Elephas maximus indicus: one gene and its partner. Each later gene encodes a partner of the first gene's protein in a complex. Links are inferred from orthologs where the notes say so. Each region holds a gene or a part of one and is shown in the gene's direction. Other genes may lie near its edges.

Region 1 (7,592 bases):
CAATCTGAATGGGAGTGAACTAAGGGGGAAGCACTTGCTAGACTGGTCTTGCTACCAGCAATCTGGACTGGCATAGCAGCTGGGCCTGATGCCCCTTTCCAAGGTGAAAAAGTCTGAGTAAAGATAAAGGTCAAATGAAGGGAAAGAGAAGTAATAGCTGAAGGTAATGTAACGAATAAATGAGTTATGCAGTAGGGGAAATATAACATTATGCTGATACCTCAAGAGAGACTGAGAGCAAGGGAATAATCTCTCAGATAAATTTTATCAGAAGCCAGAAAGGGTGAAGGTAGAGATGACTTTTGGAGAACCTGACCAGATCATATGGACACCTGCAGCAAACCTGAATGGCTGGTACCTGAGAAACCTCATGCTGAGGACTGTTTGCCCTACCGAAAGACTAATTGCTAATACCTGTTTTGGACTTGTAAAATGATTGGGAGGGGAAACATAATCCTTCAAGTATGAAAGGGCCAATGACTAGAAGAGTTAGGAGGTGGCCTGCAGTACAATGAATTGCTCAATATGGCCCTTCTAGCCATAGTTTCTGTGATTCACACACAATGATTGAGTGCAACTACGCAATTAAGGTGTATAGAACCTGTGCTGGTTGGGGTTGTGTGTCAATTTGACTAGGTCATAATTCTCAGTATTATATGGTTGTCCTCCATTCTGTGATCTGATGTAATTATCCTCCCTTTTACGATGCGTTGTGAATCCTAGCCTGTATGCCTGTGGTTGTGTTAATGAGGCAGGGTTAGGGATATAGCTTGAGAGTCCGCCAGGCACTTCTTGGAAACTCTATGGGGGCAGTTCTACTCTGTCCTCTAGGGTCACTAGGAGTTGGAATCAACTCAATGGCAGTGGGTTTGGTTTTTTGGGTTTAACCACCTTACTAGAGGGTGTGACTCAAGACACCACCCTTACTCCAGTTACTACCCTTACTAAAGGGCATGACTCAAGTCACTGCCTTCTCAAGTAGGGGAGTTTCCTTGAAGGTGTGGTCTGCATCAAATATATATGAATGCTCTGGGGAAGTTCTCTCACTCTAGATCCTGCATTTCGGTCATGATCATCTAAAGTCTGATTCTTGGAGCTTGAGCCAGCAGCCTGATCTCTGACCTGCCGATTTTGGGATTTGCCAGCTTTCACAGCCCCTTCAGCCAGCAGCCTATTGTCTGACCTGATTTGCCAACTTCCACAGATTTGTGAGCCAGCACCCTGTTGTTTGACCTGCCAGTTTGGGTTTGTCAGCCCCTGCAGCCACGTGGGTCTGGAGAAGCCTCCAGCCTGATGCCTGACCCATGGATTTGGGACTTGCCAGCCTCTATAACCATGTGAGCTATTTCCTTAAGATATGGTTCCTGAGTTCTGTGAGATGTTGCAGCGAATTACTGAACCCAAGGATGGAAGGAACAGTACTAAGAGGAAAAGGAGCAGTTCATGTTAAAGATGACGGAGTAGGACAGTAGTTTGGAAAAAAGTTGGACATGTGTGGCATCTTTAACCTCCACCTCACAGGAACCAGCTTTGTGCTGATCCTCGTAAAAGAAATTATTCATTCAACATTATTTACAAAACTTAACCTTCCTTATCAAGGTACAGGTGAGGAGGAAGAGAATCAGTATGAATCAAACATGTGCCCAGTCTCTGGCAAATTCCTTTATCTTTTTTGACCTTCAAGTAGCAATTATTGTATCCATTTAACAAAGAAATTAGGGCACAGAACAATTAAATAATTTGTGCACACTCTAAAAAGTAGCAGATCTAGAACTTGAACCTAGCTCTGTTTTACTCCAAGTTTGTTGCGCTTAGACTTTCCTCAGTTGTCCTTCTTAATCAGTGTAGGGTGTTGATCTGTGGATATCTCTGGGCTCCTGATGCTCAGAACAGGGCTTGGCTCAGCAAGCTTTTGAAAACATGTATCAAAATGCTTATCTTTAGAGTGGAAGAAGGAAGATGAAAATTGAAAAGGATGCTATGAGAGTTAGGCAGAGTAGGAATATGTGGGCCCAGGAAGCCCTGGATCCACAAAAAAATCCTCTCCCAGCCTAAGGTCCCTGGGAATGGGCTATATGTCTATCACAGTATCAAACAATACTACTTAGAAATCACCATGGTCTCAGGAAATTCCTCCTTGAAGCACTCCTTGTCCAATATGTCCACCTCCACTCTCCCCACAAGTGTGTGCTATTTAAGGATCCCAGCTCCTGCATACCTGATGTGTATTTCTGAGCCTCTTCTCTGCATCAGACCCCATGTCTTAAGAGTATGTAGAGTTAAGAATGGAAGCTCCTTGACATTAAGGAATACAAACAATACCTAACACTTATTCAGGGCTTATTAGGTACCAGGCACCATGCTAAATGCTTTATATGTAATATCTCATTTAATTCTCACAACAACCTTGTGAGGCAAATACAGTTGTTATCCCCGTCTTACAGACAAGGAAACTGAAGTTTAGAGAGGTTAGGAAATGTGTCTAAGTTCACACAGTTAAACCCAGATTTAAGCCCAGGGTTCTCTGACTCTAAAGCCCAACATTTTTACTATGATTTCCTCACTGTAGAAAATAATTCACTCATTCATGCATCAAACATCTAATGTGTATCTACTCTGTGCCTGATCCTACCAAAACCAAACCCGTTGCTATCGAGTTGATACCGCATAACGACCCTATAGGACAGAGTAGAACTGCCCCATAGGGTTTCCAAGGATTGCCTGGTGGATTTAAACTGCTGACCTTTCGGTTAGCAGCCATAGCTCTCAACTACTACGCCGCCAGGGTTTCCTTGCCTAATCCTAGGAATTCCAAATTAAATTAGTAGAGAAAAGTCTTGAACAGAGTTGTGCTTGAGGAATGAAGGAGGAGAAATCAAAGGTTCAGGGGGGCAGTGAGGAAGCTACAGTAACTATTCCTGGAGAGTTTATGACTTTCTGATGTACAGCAAAGGTGTTGGTGGGGGGTGGAGAGCCGAGAGAGTAGGAACAGGTGGGGGGCCTGGTGCGGGGGGGATGGAGACAAAAGGAGGGATGTTTGGATGGAGTTCAAGGAAGGTGGCTCGAGTTAGCTGCTTAAACCAGCTTTACTATTTGGCAATCAATGTATATTTTTTATCTTCCTTTAAGCACATCCATCATCTTATTTCATCTATACAACCACGACACTTTCTGACAAATTAATCAAATATCCCTTTCTACTATTAAAAACTCAGGATTTAAGTTCACCTATGCTTTGGGCAGAGCCCATTTCAGTTTTGCATTGATGGAGGTGGTGGTGGAGGGTAGTCCGAAGACGTTTTCTGAGCATGAGCACAGCCCCTGCTTTTCTGTATGAGATCCTCAGCCACTAGATCAATCCAGTTTCTAGAACATTGCTCACCTCTCCTCCTTGTCATCAAGTTTTTTTCTGTTCTGGGCACAGAGGACAGGCAAGTAAATAATAGGATACAGTGACTGAGGCCTGTTAGGAACATTAGTCCAACTCTGCTTGGTGAGGTTGGCAAATGTATCCCAGCGAAGGCGGGAACATTTGAACGCGGCTCTTAAGAATAAGTTAGGGTTGTCTGAGAAGACGCCTGGCGGTACAGTGGTTATGCCTTAACCGAAAGGTCCGCGGTTCCAACCACGAGGGAGCCGCTCTGCAGGAGAAAGATGTGGCAGTCTGTGTCTTGGAAATCTTAAGGGGGAAGTTCTACTCTGTCCTATAGGGTTGCTATGAGTCAGAATCGACTCGATGGCAATGGGTTTGGCTTTTTTTTTAACTGTAGCTGTTATCAGGAACGAAGTCCCTGGAATCCTCACTTGTACCAAGCTCTATGCTGGGCTATTTCCTTAGGGCATCTCAAATGTTCATAAAGTCTATTCCAGCGTATATAATTCCCCCTTCTCTTTTACGAGAGGTTACTGAGGTTCAGAGAGGGTGTACTACTGCTGGCATGGGTCAAGAGATGTGGGGGCCGCGATTTGGGGTTTCAGAGCCGTCGCAGGCAAGTTCTTCCGACAGACGGACCTCCCGGGAAAGACCTAGCTCCGCACGTGGTATGGCCAAGAAGTGTGAGCAAGGCGACAGGGCAGCCTTCCCATCACCGCCCGCGGACCTGGGGGGCGGGGGGGCGACGGAAGGGTAGAATAGTTACCAAGCCATCCTGGAGCCTTCCTTCTGATTGGCCCGAGCTTCCGCAGCCGGAGTCTTTGGGCCCCAAAGAAGGGGAGGAGCGTCGGTATGGCGTCACCACTCCTCTCCCACACCCCGCCCGGTCCACCCCAATCTAGCCAGTCACCAGCCCACTTCTAGGGGCCCTATGTGACGCCACGACTCTCTCCCAGCCAACCGCGGCAGTGTGGGGGCGGGACTCCATGATCCCTTCCACCGCTCCTCCCCTTTCCTCTCTCTAACTCTTTATGCCCCTCCTCTTCCCACTTGTCCCTTCTCCCGAAGACCGCCCTCACGTTCTGTTTCAAAAGACTAGTTGCCCAATGAATAACAGGGCGGGCCTAGAGTGGCGGCCTCGTCTGCCAATGTTCAGACAGCGAGGGCGGAGCGCTCAGAGCGAGCCTCTGACGGCAGGCGGCGTGTGACGCAGTCGGGCCCTCTGCGCTTTGCGCCCGGAGCGGCGGTCGGTAGCGGTGGTAGTGGCGGCGACGGTTTCGTGGCGGCCGCGCGCTGCTCAGAGAGCGGCGGGTGGCGAACGGGCCTGGGCTCTCACTCCTGACACTTCCCCTCGCCCACCGCATCGCGGTAAGTCGGGAGCCGGAGCAGCGGCGGCCGGGGGCCGGCAGGCTCCTCCCCTCAGGGCGGGCGGCTGCGCGGGGCGTCCCAGGCCCTGTCAGCGCCGAAGTCTCGCGCCCGTCGCGCACCTTCTACCCTGAGGGAGGGGGCGGGGCCCACGATCCTGCGGCCCCCAGGCTTAGCTTTTTGGGCCCTGGGAGGGAATCGATGTGGTGGGGTCTGGACCGGGGGTGGGGGTGGGGAGGGGGTGGTCTCCAGTTGCAGCCCATGGGGATAGAGCATCCATTTAGCTGGTTGTACTGGTTTTTTTTACTCATTCATACGCTTGGCGGTGATAGGCGCCGGCGCTGGGCCGGCCTCGCCTTAAGACCCTGAGTATGATCTTCCCAGACTTTCTTGACGTTGGTGCAGAAATGGGTTTCATTTGCCATGTCTTTTGCACGAGACAAAGGTGGTAGGTGGGTGTGTTGGGAGTTTGCTAGCTTTCTAAGATAATATCTGAGAATTAGGATCGGTTCAGTGGAGTACAGGGTTATTTTCTGTTCTCCCACGTGTTCCGTGTAAAGCCAGATGAGAAACAACATTGGGTTCCTGGATAGTTATATAGAAATTATTTGAGCTAGTCACTCCCCTGCATCACATGCAAGCTGTACAGATGGAGAAACCGAGGCCTAGAGAAAGGACGGGATTAGCCAGACGTCCAGACTCAGTCTAGAAATTTTTTACTACACCCTCCTGGGAGGTCAGTCTTTGATTATTGAGGATTCCGGGGATGGGGAGGGGAGATATTCGATAGTTAGGAGTAGATGTAGTCTTAAAGAGCGTTTTGAATTTGAGTGTTGCTATCTCTTCAAAATAAGAGAGAAGCTTCATTAGTGGTACCCTTACCTAGACCAAGGGAACTAACCTTAAAAGTTGATTAAAGAACGTTTGTGGTGTTATGTATTGGAAACGAATTGATAAAACTACAAGTCGTTGGCTAGTTTCCCGTTTTAGATCTGAATTTTTGACCCGTGTTAGCGACTGTGGATTCTGAGGAGTCCAGTTAGTGACCCACAACAGCATTGGGAAGTATAGACAAGACGTATAAAGCTAGGCAGCGGTCACTTTGTAATTCTTGTACCTTGGAACTCCATGGTTCCTGTTTGGTGCAAAGTTCAAAATAAAGTATTCTGATAGAATAAAATGAGGGAATTAAACTCCGATTTGGAAGAAGCAGCTAACTGCAAGAAAAGAACAAGGATTATTCTCTTGGCAGTTTCATAAATTCAGAAAGAAATATTTGTTAACTGGGTGACAGATGGTATGTTTACTTGGAGAGAGAAGTTAGGATATCAAAGCCAGACATTGGACAGGATGGAGGTAATGGACATAAATACTTTGATAAAATTATTATTTTTTACTGTTTATTTAAGATTTAGAAATGGAATTACTAGTTTTGCCCCTTTGGTCTATTCTAGTCAGTCAGATTGTTACTTCTTGTTTATATGACAAAGCAAAAACTGAAAAATTTCGTAGTGTATGAGAGCAGACAAGAGCTGTAGTCTAAATACTAAGATGTGGACAGTGTGTGTTTTCTGTGACATTTTCTCAGTTCAAGCATTGCTTTCTTCTGGGAAGACTTTCCTGGCATTCTATCCCCCTCAAGCTTCCATAACACTTATTTGATACTTCTGTTTATAGCACATACAGTTTTGCATTTTAGCTGTTTAATTTTTTTTATTATACAGTGGTAAAATGTTGTTATCTTTGTATTCAGGTTGCTTGGCATGTAGTAGCCAAGCATGTGTTTGCTTGAATGAATAAACAAATACAGAGGAGTTACCTAAAAATAATCATAAGAGAGTCTGAGTATTTACATGCTTCTGAAATGTGAGGCCCAGATAAGAGAATTGATATAGCTTATATAATGTGTAATTTTTATTTTGGTACCTGAATTTATTCATGTCCGTTAGCTCCTAGATTTAAAAAAAAGAAAAAAAACCTAGTCCAGTGCCATCGAGTCGATTCCAACTCATAGCGACCCTATAGGACAGAGTAGAACTGCCCCACAGTTTCCAAGGAGCACCTGGTGGATTTGAACTGCCAACCCTTTGGTTAGCAGCCATAGCACTTAACCACTACACCACCAGGGTTTCCTGGATAGCTAAGAGCAAGTAGAATTTCTAGGGAACCAAACTTGCTGGCAGATTAGAAAAAATCGGTCGTATTATTTTATTGTATTATATTATCAGTTATATTATTTATTTGCTGACAGTTAACCTAGAAGTAAGGGATAGTAGCTCTGATGTTTATTTCCAATAAAGAGCATATCTGTAATTATGCAGTTTGTTGAAAGATTAGGGGATTTAGAAATTTAGAGATTTAAAAATAGGTATTAGAGGCACGGATTGTGTTAGAAGTGGGATTAGAGCCCATGCCTCCATTCAGAGACCGGAATGCCTGCAGGCAAGGTGTGCACCTTGAGTCTGGTGCCTTACACTACTCAGCCATTCTGACAAGTACAGCCAGAATGATCCTTAGAAGCAAGGATGATGAGACTTTGTCTCTTGTACTTTGGACATGTTATCAGGAGGGACCAGTTCCTGGAGAAGGACATCACTCTTGGTAAAGTAGAAACAAACAAACAAAAAAAACCCTGCTGCTGTTGAGTCAATTCTGACTCATAGCAACCCTATAAGACAGGGTAGAACTGTCTCATAGAGTTTCTAAGGAGTGCCTGATAGATTCTAACTGCCGACCTTTTGGTTAGGAGCTGTAGCTCTTAACCACTACTCCACCAGGGTTTCTGGTAAAGTTGAAGGTCAGTGAAAAAGAGGAAGATCCTCCATGAGATGGATTGGCACAGTGGACTCAAACA
Region 2 (7,928 bases), on another chromosome or scaffold:
GGTCATTGGTGGTAGCCAGGCACAATCTAGTTCTTCTAGTCTCAGGCTAGTGAGGTCTCTGGCTCATGTGGTCCTTTCTTTAGTCCTTTCGGCTAATATTTTCCTTGTGTCTTTGATTTTCTGCATTCTTTTGCTCCAGGTGGGATGGTACCAATCCATGTATCTTAGATGACCGCTCACAAGCTTTTAAGACCCCAGACACCACTCACAAAAGCCAGATGTAGAATATTTTCTTAATAAACTATGTTACGCCAATTGACCTAGATGTTCCCTGAAACTATGGTCCCCAGGCCCCAGCCCCAGCTACTCTGTCCCTCAAAGTATTGGGATGTGTCCAGGAAACTTCTTTGCTTTTGCTTTGTGAAGGCTATTTTTCAATCCAAGTTAGGCTTGGACTAAATTGTATTCCATTTGTAATTAGTGACTATTCCTTATCTACTAGAGAAGGGTCAGCAGCCTCTGTATTTGCTAAGTTATAATTCACAGATAGTTATCATTTATATGGTGAAAAATAAAGAAGTTTCTTGGGGAGGGGTATCCTAGTAGTAAATAGTCTTTTCATAAATTGAGATGTCTCCCAACAGGCCATTTGTTTTGGCTGACAACACTGAATCCAGGTAAGAAAAATACAGCTGATCTATTCTTGATTTTCATCTTTGGTTATTTGAAGTAGGGATTGTTGTCCTTTTGTGTTTTTTTCTTTTTTGGTCAGTTTCTGCCACTTGGTCTAAAAATGAATAGCTATTAGTTTTCTCCTTATCCTTCACAGAATTCTTTTTGTCTCTATGCTATAGTTGAATTTTATTGGTTTTGTTAACATGGCTTCTCTCTGACATTCATAGGTTACAACATTTCTTACACCAAAATGGCCCTGGTGGTGTACTCTTCATTTCCATCCCACAAAATATCCTCTTATCTTTGTGCCAAGATGGGATTTCCTGCTTCTCAGGTGACCCTGACTGAGTTATCTGAGTCTGGTCTTTCCATGGTTATCACATCACATTAAGCAAATGTCTATTCTTGCTCTGCAATACAGTAGGACCAGACTCGAAACATTCCAGTCCGTGTGGAGGCCATCAGAGAGAGATCTTCCTAAAACATTTTGTTCTTAATTGAATTGGAAATAATATATTCTCAAATAAAAAATATTGTAAATGGTAGGTGGGTTCCTAAACTAGCTACAAAAGTGGTAGAATGATGGTAAAGGTAAGCGATGAGCTTTGGGGTAAGGAGTGGAGAAATCATTTTAAACGTTGACTCTGCCACTCATTAGTGCTGCAATTTATTATTATCCCCTCAGTGACTCAGTTTCCTTTTCTGTAAAATGAGGATAATGATTCTTCTCAGGATTGTTAGGATAACATGAAAATCTTTATATAACACTTTCATAGGGACTTATTCATGGTATTCATGCTTTATCATGAATTGCAAAAAATTAATTTCTTATGTAGCAAATACATTCAGGTCAGGTTAGATCCGGTTATATAAATGAGTTTAGCTGTATTGGTAATAATGGTATATTGGGAAAATGAACTGTAGTATCTATAGAGACCGCCATGTGTCAGCACTGATCCATGTGCTGAGGTTATAACACTGGGAAAAAATTCCTTATCCTTTTGGAGCTTAAAATTTAGTGTGTATGTGTGTGTGTGTGTGTGTGGGGTGGGGGGGGCAAGTTTCTATTAAAAGTTACTCAATGAAAGAACCCAAAACACAAGATCACTTACTAAAGCCATCCCAATTTTGACTTGGCCTAAAGACTGATAAGGAGTCCCTTGGTGGTATAAATGGTTAATTCACTTGGCTGCTTACCAAAAGGTAGGGGCTTTGAGTCCACCCAGAGGTACCTGGGAAGAAAGCCCTGGTGATCTACTTCTGAAAAATTAGCCATTGAAAACCCTATGAAGCCCAGTGCACTCTGACGCGTATGGGGTCACCAGGAGTGGTGACTGATTTGAAGGCAGTTGGTTACTGGTTGGGAGCCCTGGTGGTGTAGTGGTTAAGAGCACAGCTGCTAATCAAAAGGTCAGCAGTTCAAATCCACCAGCCACTCCCTGGAAACCCTATGGGGCAGTTCAACTCTGTCCTATAGAGTTGCTATGAGTCGGAATCGCCTCAACAGCAATGGGTTGGTTTGGTTACTGGTTAAAGACTGACAGGAATAGAAGTTACTAATAGAAAGAAATGGATGAAGAAAGAGACAGCTAGTTCATAACACAAAATTTATAAATGGTAGCTTCTGATTCTGTGAAATACAAATAGTAATATCTCATAGGTTTTTGAGGAAATTAAATCCTATTATCTATGTAAAGTGCTTAATTATAAGCACTAAATAATACTTATTTCCTTCCTCAAACGCTTGTTAATTTCCAACATGGCTGGAAGGATTTCAAGAACCCCTATTATTGTTATATGCCATTTGACCTTTTTTTCCGATTTATATATAGTATCTTTTAGAGCAATGCTCAATATTTATTTGTTTGTTTGGATGCAGGCAGATCTTTTGTTATAATTTTCCTTAAAGCTTTACAATCAAAATAATTTATTATAACTCATTCTACTACTCGTAATTGCTAACAGAAGAATGAGTTCCAAAAATGTGTGAGATGGTGATTTGGAACTCTACACTATATCTCAGCACAGAAATAATGTTATTTTAACATCCCAAACCATGCAATAAGAAGTCATCTCATCCCATAATGAGGCTGATACTATGTCAGGGTAAAACTGAGCAGTGGGAAGTTTTGAACACAGCTTCCCTCCTGTCCTTTATTCTGTCTCTGCTCTCAAACTGCCTGGTAAAGCTTCCAAAAATGCAGTCACACAAATGTGGAACTAGTGTATTATTGTTTCCTTGGATGTTGTTTTACATCAAAGGAATAAAGTAAATGTGAAATGAGTTAAATGAATTCTGTGAGTTAATGAGTTAAACAACTGAAAGGAATTTGTATTTTTCCACAGCTTCTCAAATCCCACCAATCTTTGATTCTGAAGTTTGGCCCAATTCTTCTGCACAGCCCTTGCTTTCAAAACTTGAATGTGAGGGCTGACCCACGCCTCCAAGAAAGACATCATTTTTGAGCTCTAGCCAGTCCATAGTCTTGTACTGGAAATTTTGAGTCTGGTAGATGAAAAGGAAAAATGGGATGTGGCTACAGTTCAATCTCCTATATATGTAGCCCAGTTAGGAAATTCAGGTAGAGGTTCTCCATGTGAGTTAGCTTATCCAGAATTACTTCACCCCGCTTGTCAAATACCTAGCTAAGGCTTACAAAAGAACCAGGCTTCAGTTGAAGAGGGGAAAGCATCCAAGAGAAACAATTGTACTTAAGAAGGGTAAAGTGCTGAGCAGGTATACCTAGAAAGTCTAGTGAGGAGTTAGGTATGGTGAAGGCACGAGGCTGGGGCAGGGAAACAAATTAATTTTGTTTTTCATATTTGGCAACTTCTTGAGTGTTGGTGCTTCTGGTCAGAGATGCCTCTGAAAACCATATGCTTTGTAAGCCTATGCCTATACAGCATAGTTCTTTTAGGTGCTGAAACATACTACAAGTTCAAAGGTACTATAAATTTGGTTTCACAATTTCACTTATGTGATTTATATAGTGACTTTTGAATTGAGCAGCTAGGTGGTGGAGACTGTATAAAAATCTTGGCGCTAAAGATTTGTACCTGACAGCTTGACTGATATTAAATGCTTTCTACACAGTAGTTTTTATAAACTAGGTATTATACAGCACATAAATACATAAGCCCTTTCACCAGAACCACCATCCTGTTGAAATAAAAATTCATTCTATTTACAGATAAAGAAACTGAGGCTTACAGAGAAGATCAATAGCTTCCTCTGGACTATACAGCTAGTAAATGATAGATTTGAAACTAAGTCTATTTGACTCCAAAGCTACTTAAAAGCTTTAAAATCAACTGTCTCAAAATGGAACAATAGTAGAGTTTTCTCTTTAATCATCTGACTACTCATCTTGACTCTTATACAAAAGTTGTGTTACAGTTCTGGGTTTGACTGCCCAGCTCTGTGTCCTTGAACGCACCACCCAAATTGTCTAGGAAGTCTTTGGTGTCCGTTGAGAGGGGCGGTCCACGTGATCATCAAGACCTGTCTAACCGTCAGCGCTTAGAATCTCTACATACGTATGGATTCAATCTTGAGCCTATGCTCACTTACCTCCCTGAACACGATGCCTTTTATTTGGAACATACATATGCACACTTGTATTACTGAAAATATACATTTTACTTCTATTGTGAGCTGCGTAGGTAATCATAATAGCCACCATTTATTGCATTTCTTGTAGGCACCAGCTCTATAAGGTGAACTTAAAAGTTATTTTCTGGAGGAGGACGCCAAGGTTCAGAGATTTTGAGTGGGGGAGCCAGAATTCTAGCCCTTGTGTATATGTCTAATAGGACCTTAATGAAGCTGTATACATTTTCTAATTGTGCTTTCGGCCTACGAATGATTTTGGACATTGCTTTTTCAACCACAGAGTTTTTGTTGTTGTTAAAAGATATCACTTAGCTCCTGTCGCTGATTTCACCCTCTGCTTACTTTCTGCTAGATAGGGAGAAGTAGAGTGGTTGGGAGCTTACTGTTTTTATGTTAAATGGTTCTTCAGAGCCTAAGCCTAAAGCTAAGGGCAGGAAAACGAACGTAACCGCCCGCTCAGTGCCTCTGCGGCGCTCGGCGGATCCACCACCCCGCGCCTTCCTTTGCCAGAACTCACGTGCTCCTCCTGAACTACGTTACCCAGCGCACCGCGCGGCCGAGAGCGCGGGCTCGTAGAGCTCTTCCTTCCTCCTCCCCTCGCAGGTCGCAGCGAGATGATGCATAGGCGTCGGGCGCTAACGAGTGACGGTGTCCTGGCTCGCGACCGCGGCGGCCTTAGCAGCGGCAATAGGCGCAACAGCGGCGGCGACTGCAGGGACGACGACGGCAGGGCGGGCGCTGTGCGCAGAGGGGAGGGGTAGGCGGGCGGCGCCGGCGGCTTCAGCTGCGGCAGCGACGGCTAGAGCGACGGAAGAAGATCCCCTACCAGCCGGCGGTCGAGTTAGGCCTCAGCAGCGCCCGGAGCCGCTCGCACTGTCCTCTGCGGAAGATCTCCATAGAGACCGTGACATACACAGAGGCGGGGGACCGCGGAAGGCTGCCGGACCGGAGCCAGCTCCTCGGCCTCCGCCGCCGCCACCCCCTCCCCCTCTGCCAGCGCGCACCCTCTCTCCCCTCCTGCTCGCAACCTCGAGGTCCCTGGTGTGCCTGTGTCCCACCGTGTGGGTAGCGCGGGCGGACTTTTGGGCCGGGACCGGGCGGGGGGGGCTCTAAGGCCGTCGCCTCTGCCTCTCCCGCCCCCCTTACCCGCCGCGGAGCGGGAAGCAGCGGAGGCTCCACCATGGCCTCGGGAGCCGGAGGAATAGGAGGGGGCGGCGGCGGCGGTGGCAAGATCCGGACGCGGCGTTGTCACCAGGGGCCAATTAAGCCTTACGCGCAGGGGCGACAACAGCACCAGGTACGGAACCCCGACGCCGCGGTGGCCTAACGGGTCGGGGGCTGGGCGAGAGGGGTCAGGCAGTGCGGGGCTCTGGCTCCCCACACCCGCCGCACGTGGATCGGATGGGAGGGCCGGAGGAAGGCCCGATTGAGGCGGCGGGAGCTCAGGCCGCTGGGGTGGCGACGGGAAGTGGGCTGAGACAGGCCCAGCCGTGCGGCGCACATGTGTGGCTTGGGCCGCCTCTCGCATAGTCTCTGGGTCAGGGGCTTCCCCGGCAGGCTCAGGGCGGGAAAAGAAATTCTAGGCCCACGGTGCGCGCGTTTCTTTCTTTTTTTTGGCGGGGATTGGGGATTTGGAGGTATTACTCACAGCCTCTCGAGGGAGAAAGGAAAAGATGCGGCCGGAGCCCATTACGCGGGCTGTGCGTTTTCTAGTCTCCCGCGGTTCAGTGTGTGGGGAGGGGGCTGCTCCGAGGAATCGGCTTCTTGGACTCACGGGAGACTGGGGGGCGCTGTTACACGGAAAATGGAATAATATACTCTCAGCCGATTGATTAATTCTCCGTCTCCGCCGCCCTTGTCCGTCCTCAATCTGAGAGCATTCGCTCAACTTTTTTTTCTTAACCGGGATATAGTTAACCGTGGCACTGGGGCATTTTGAAAGTCCCTCTCCACCCTTACGTATTTTCTGCGCTGCGCGGCTCTTCCCTCCCCACCTGTCTCTTTTTTTTTTCTTCCTCCTTTTACTTTGGAAACTAGAATTGGCCATTCTCCACAGTTGACCAGGATTCCATTTCTGATCTCATACACAAAATATTTTAATATTATGGGGCGTGTTCTAAAAGTTTAAGGACTTTTGACGCTCTAGGAATGTTTGTGGTCTTATAATTTAATCACCGTGTACACTCCTGGGTGTTAAAAATTATAAGGAGTTTAGCCTAAGTATAAATGAGACATTCGTTTCTGAGAAAATTCCATTTTTAAATGTTATTTGTGTGTTGGCGGATGGTAGAGCAGAAAATACCAAATACCTATTTTAATAAAGCCACTTATAAAACTGATTGACACTAAGGTGGGAAGTGTGTGTCTTAAACTTGTTAGAAACAAAAGTATAGCAAAAGGGTGTAATAACTTGTTGCATACAGTCAGGTAGACTTCCTAGATTGCTTTATTTTGCATGATAATAATGAACACTTTAACATGTTTGTTGGTGGTGTTAAATTGTATCATTAAGTACAGATTTGAGGAGAACTTTTGAAAGTAAAAATTGTGGATTATGTATTATACCAAGTAGGTCTCTAATAGTCAGAAGGCTTGGCATTACTATTATCTCCTGCTAGTTTTTCCACGGATATGTACAGAAAGTGCCTCGTTTTCACATGGCTTTGTGAGGAACAGGTACTTGTAGGCAGATTTAATGCTAGAATTCAGGTCACAAGCCTTGACCATTTAACTTAAGCCTCTTTTGTAGAATGAAAGACATACATGCTTTCTGTTTCTCCTATAGAATATCTCAGTGCTTTCTACGATTTGCTTAAAAGAAAATTACTACACATAGAAAAACGTTTTCAATACAGATGAATAAAAAGTTTGGACAGAGTTTAGAAGGGAGTTAATATATTCCAGGCAGCGAAAGTTGTAATCACAGTTTATTTTTAAATTTACTTAGATAAGAATCTAATTTTGAGGAAATAATGTCTTAACAGAATGCCTGTGATCTAAACTGCCCTAGAATTGATACGATTTCAGGCTGTATAGTTTTTAAGTTTTAAATTTTCGTAAATTATCATTGCTCCCTATCTAAAATACTTTAAGCTTCTTGCCCCAGCTGCTTGATTTATTTAAAAAATATATATGTATTTTTAGCTTTTGAATTGGGATTAAAGATGTTTTGAGATTTCTTGATCAACACTACATGTTTTATTTAATACTGGCAGGAACTACCAAAGAAAAGTATTCAGGTATATACAGAAGAGTGCTTTCTGGTTTATCTGTTTTTTAATCTTATATTAAGGGCTTTTCCTTAGTCTTTACTGAAACTTTTGTGAACTACCTGCTTGCTGTATTCTACCCTAAGCTGTCAAATTGGATGTTTTGCAGCAGTTGCTGAGTCATCATGAATATCGAGGCGCTTCATGACATGGCATGTTTTGTACTAATGTTATTTAAGTGACCCAGGGTTTCTGAGCAGGAATGAAGTTTTTCATTATGTAGTAGAGTGTTGGAACCAGAATGAGAGGCCTGGCACTGTTAGTTAATGGCTGTTTGCCATTGCTTGTCAGGCCAATTAGCTAGTGTAGTCAGACAGTACCTGAGACTCTTGCATGTGTTAAATTGACTTGTAATTTCCTGTTTTGACTTCTGGTTTAGCTCTGCTGGGAAATACTTAAAGGCTAGCATTTTTTTCTTTTCACCTTCTCAT

The links. The genes of interacting proteins can lie anywhere in the genome.
Region 2: NUP98 (region 1) and NUP153 share a complex: the UniProt entries of both Homo sapiens proteins name them as parts of the nuclear pore complex. The link is inferred for Elephas maximus indicus from reciprocal best matches to the Homo sapiens genes NUP98 and NUP153.

Annotation. Positions count from the first base shown.
Region 1 is NC_064825.1:53,106,391-53,113,982, reverse strand, and holds the start of NUP98 (nuclear pore complex protein Nup98-Nup96), read left to right. Parts: upstream 1-4,554; 5' UTR 4,555-4,741; intron 4,742-7,592. Other genes in the region: PGAP2 (post-GPI attachment to proteins factor 2), read right to left, coding at 4,140-4,147. UniProt on the Homo sapiens protein: Plays a role in the nuclear pore complex (NPC) assembly and/or maintenance. NUP98 and NUP96 are involved in the bidirectional transport across the NPC. May anchor NUP153 and TPR to the NPC.
Region 2 is NC_064819.1:63,114,033-63,121,960, reverse strand, and holds the start of NUP153 (nuclear pore complex protein Nup153), read left to right. Parts: upstream 1-4,877; 5' UTR 4,878-5,408; coding exon 5,409-5,525; intron 5,526-7,928. UniProt on the Homo sapiens protein: Component of the nuclear pore complex (NPC), a complex required for the trafficking across the nuclear envelope. Functions as a scaffolding element in the nuclear phase of the NPC essential for normal nucleocytoplasmic transport of proteins and mRNAs.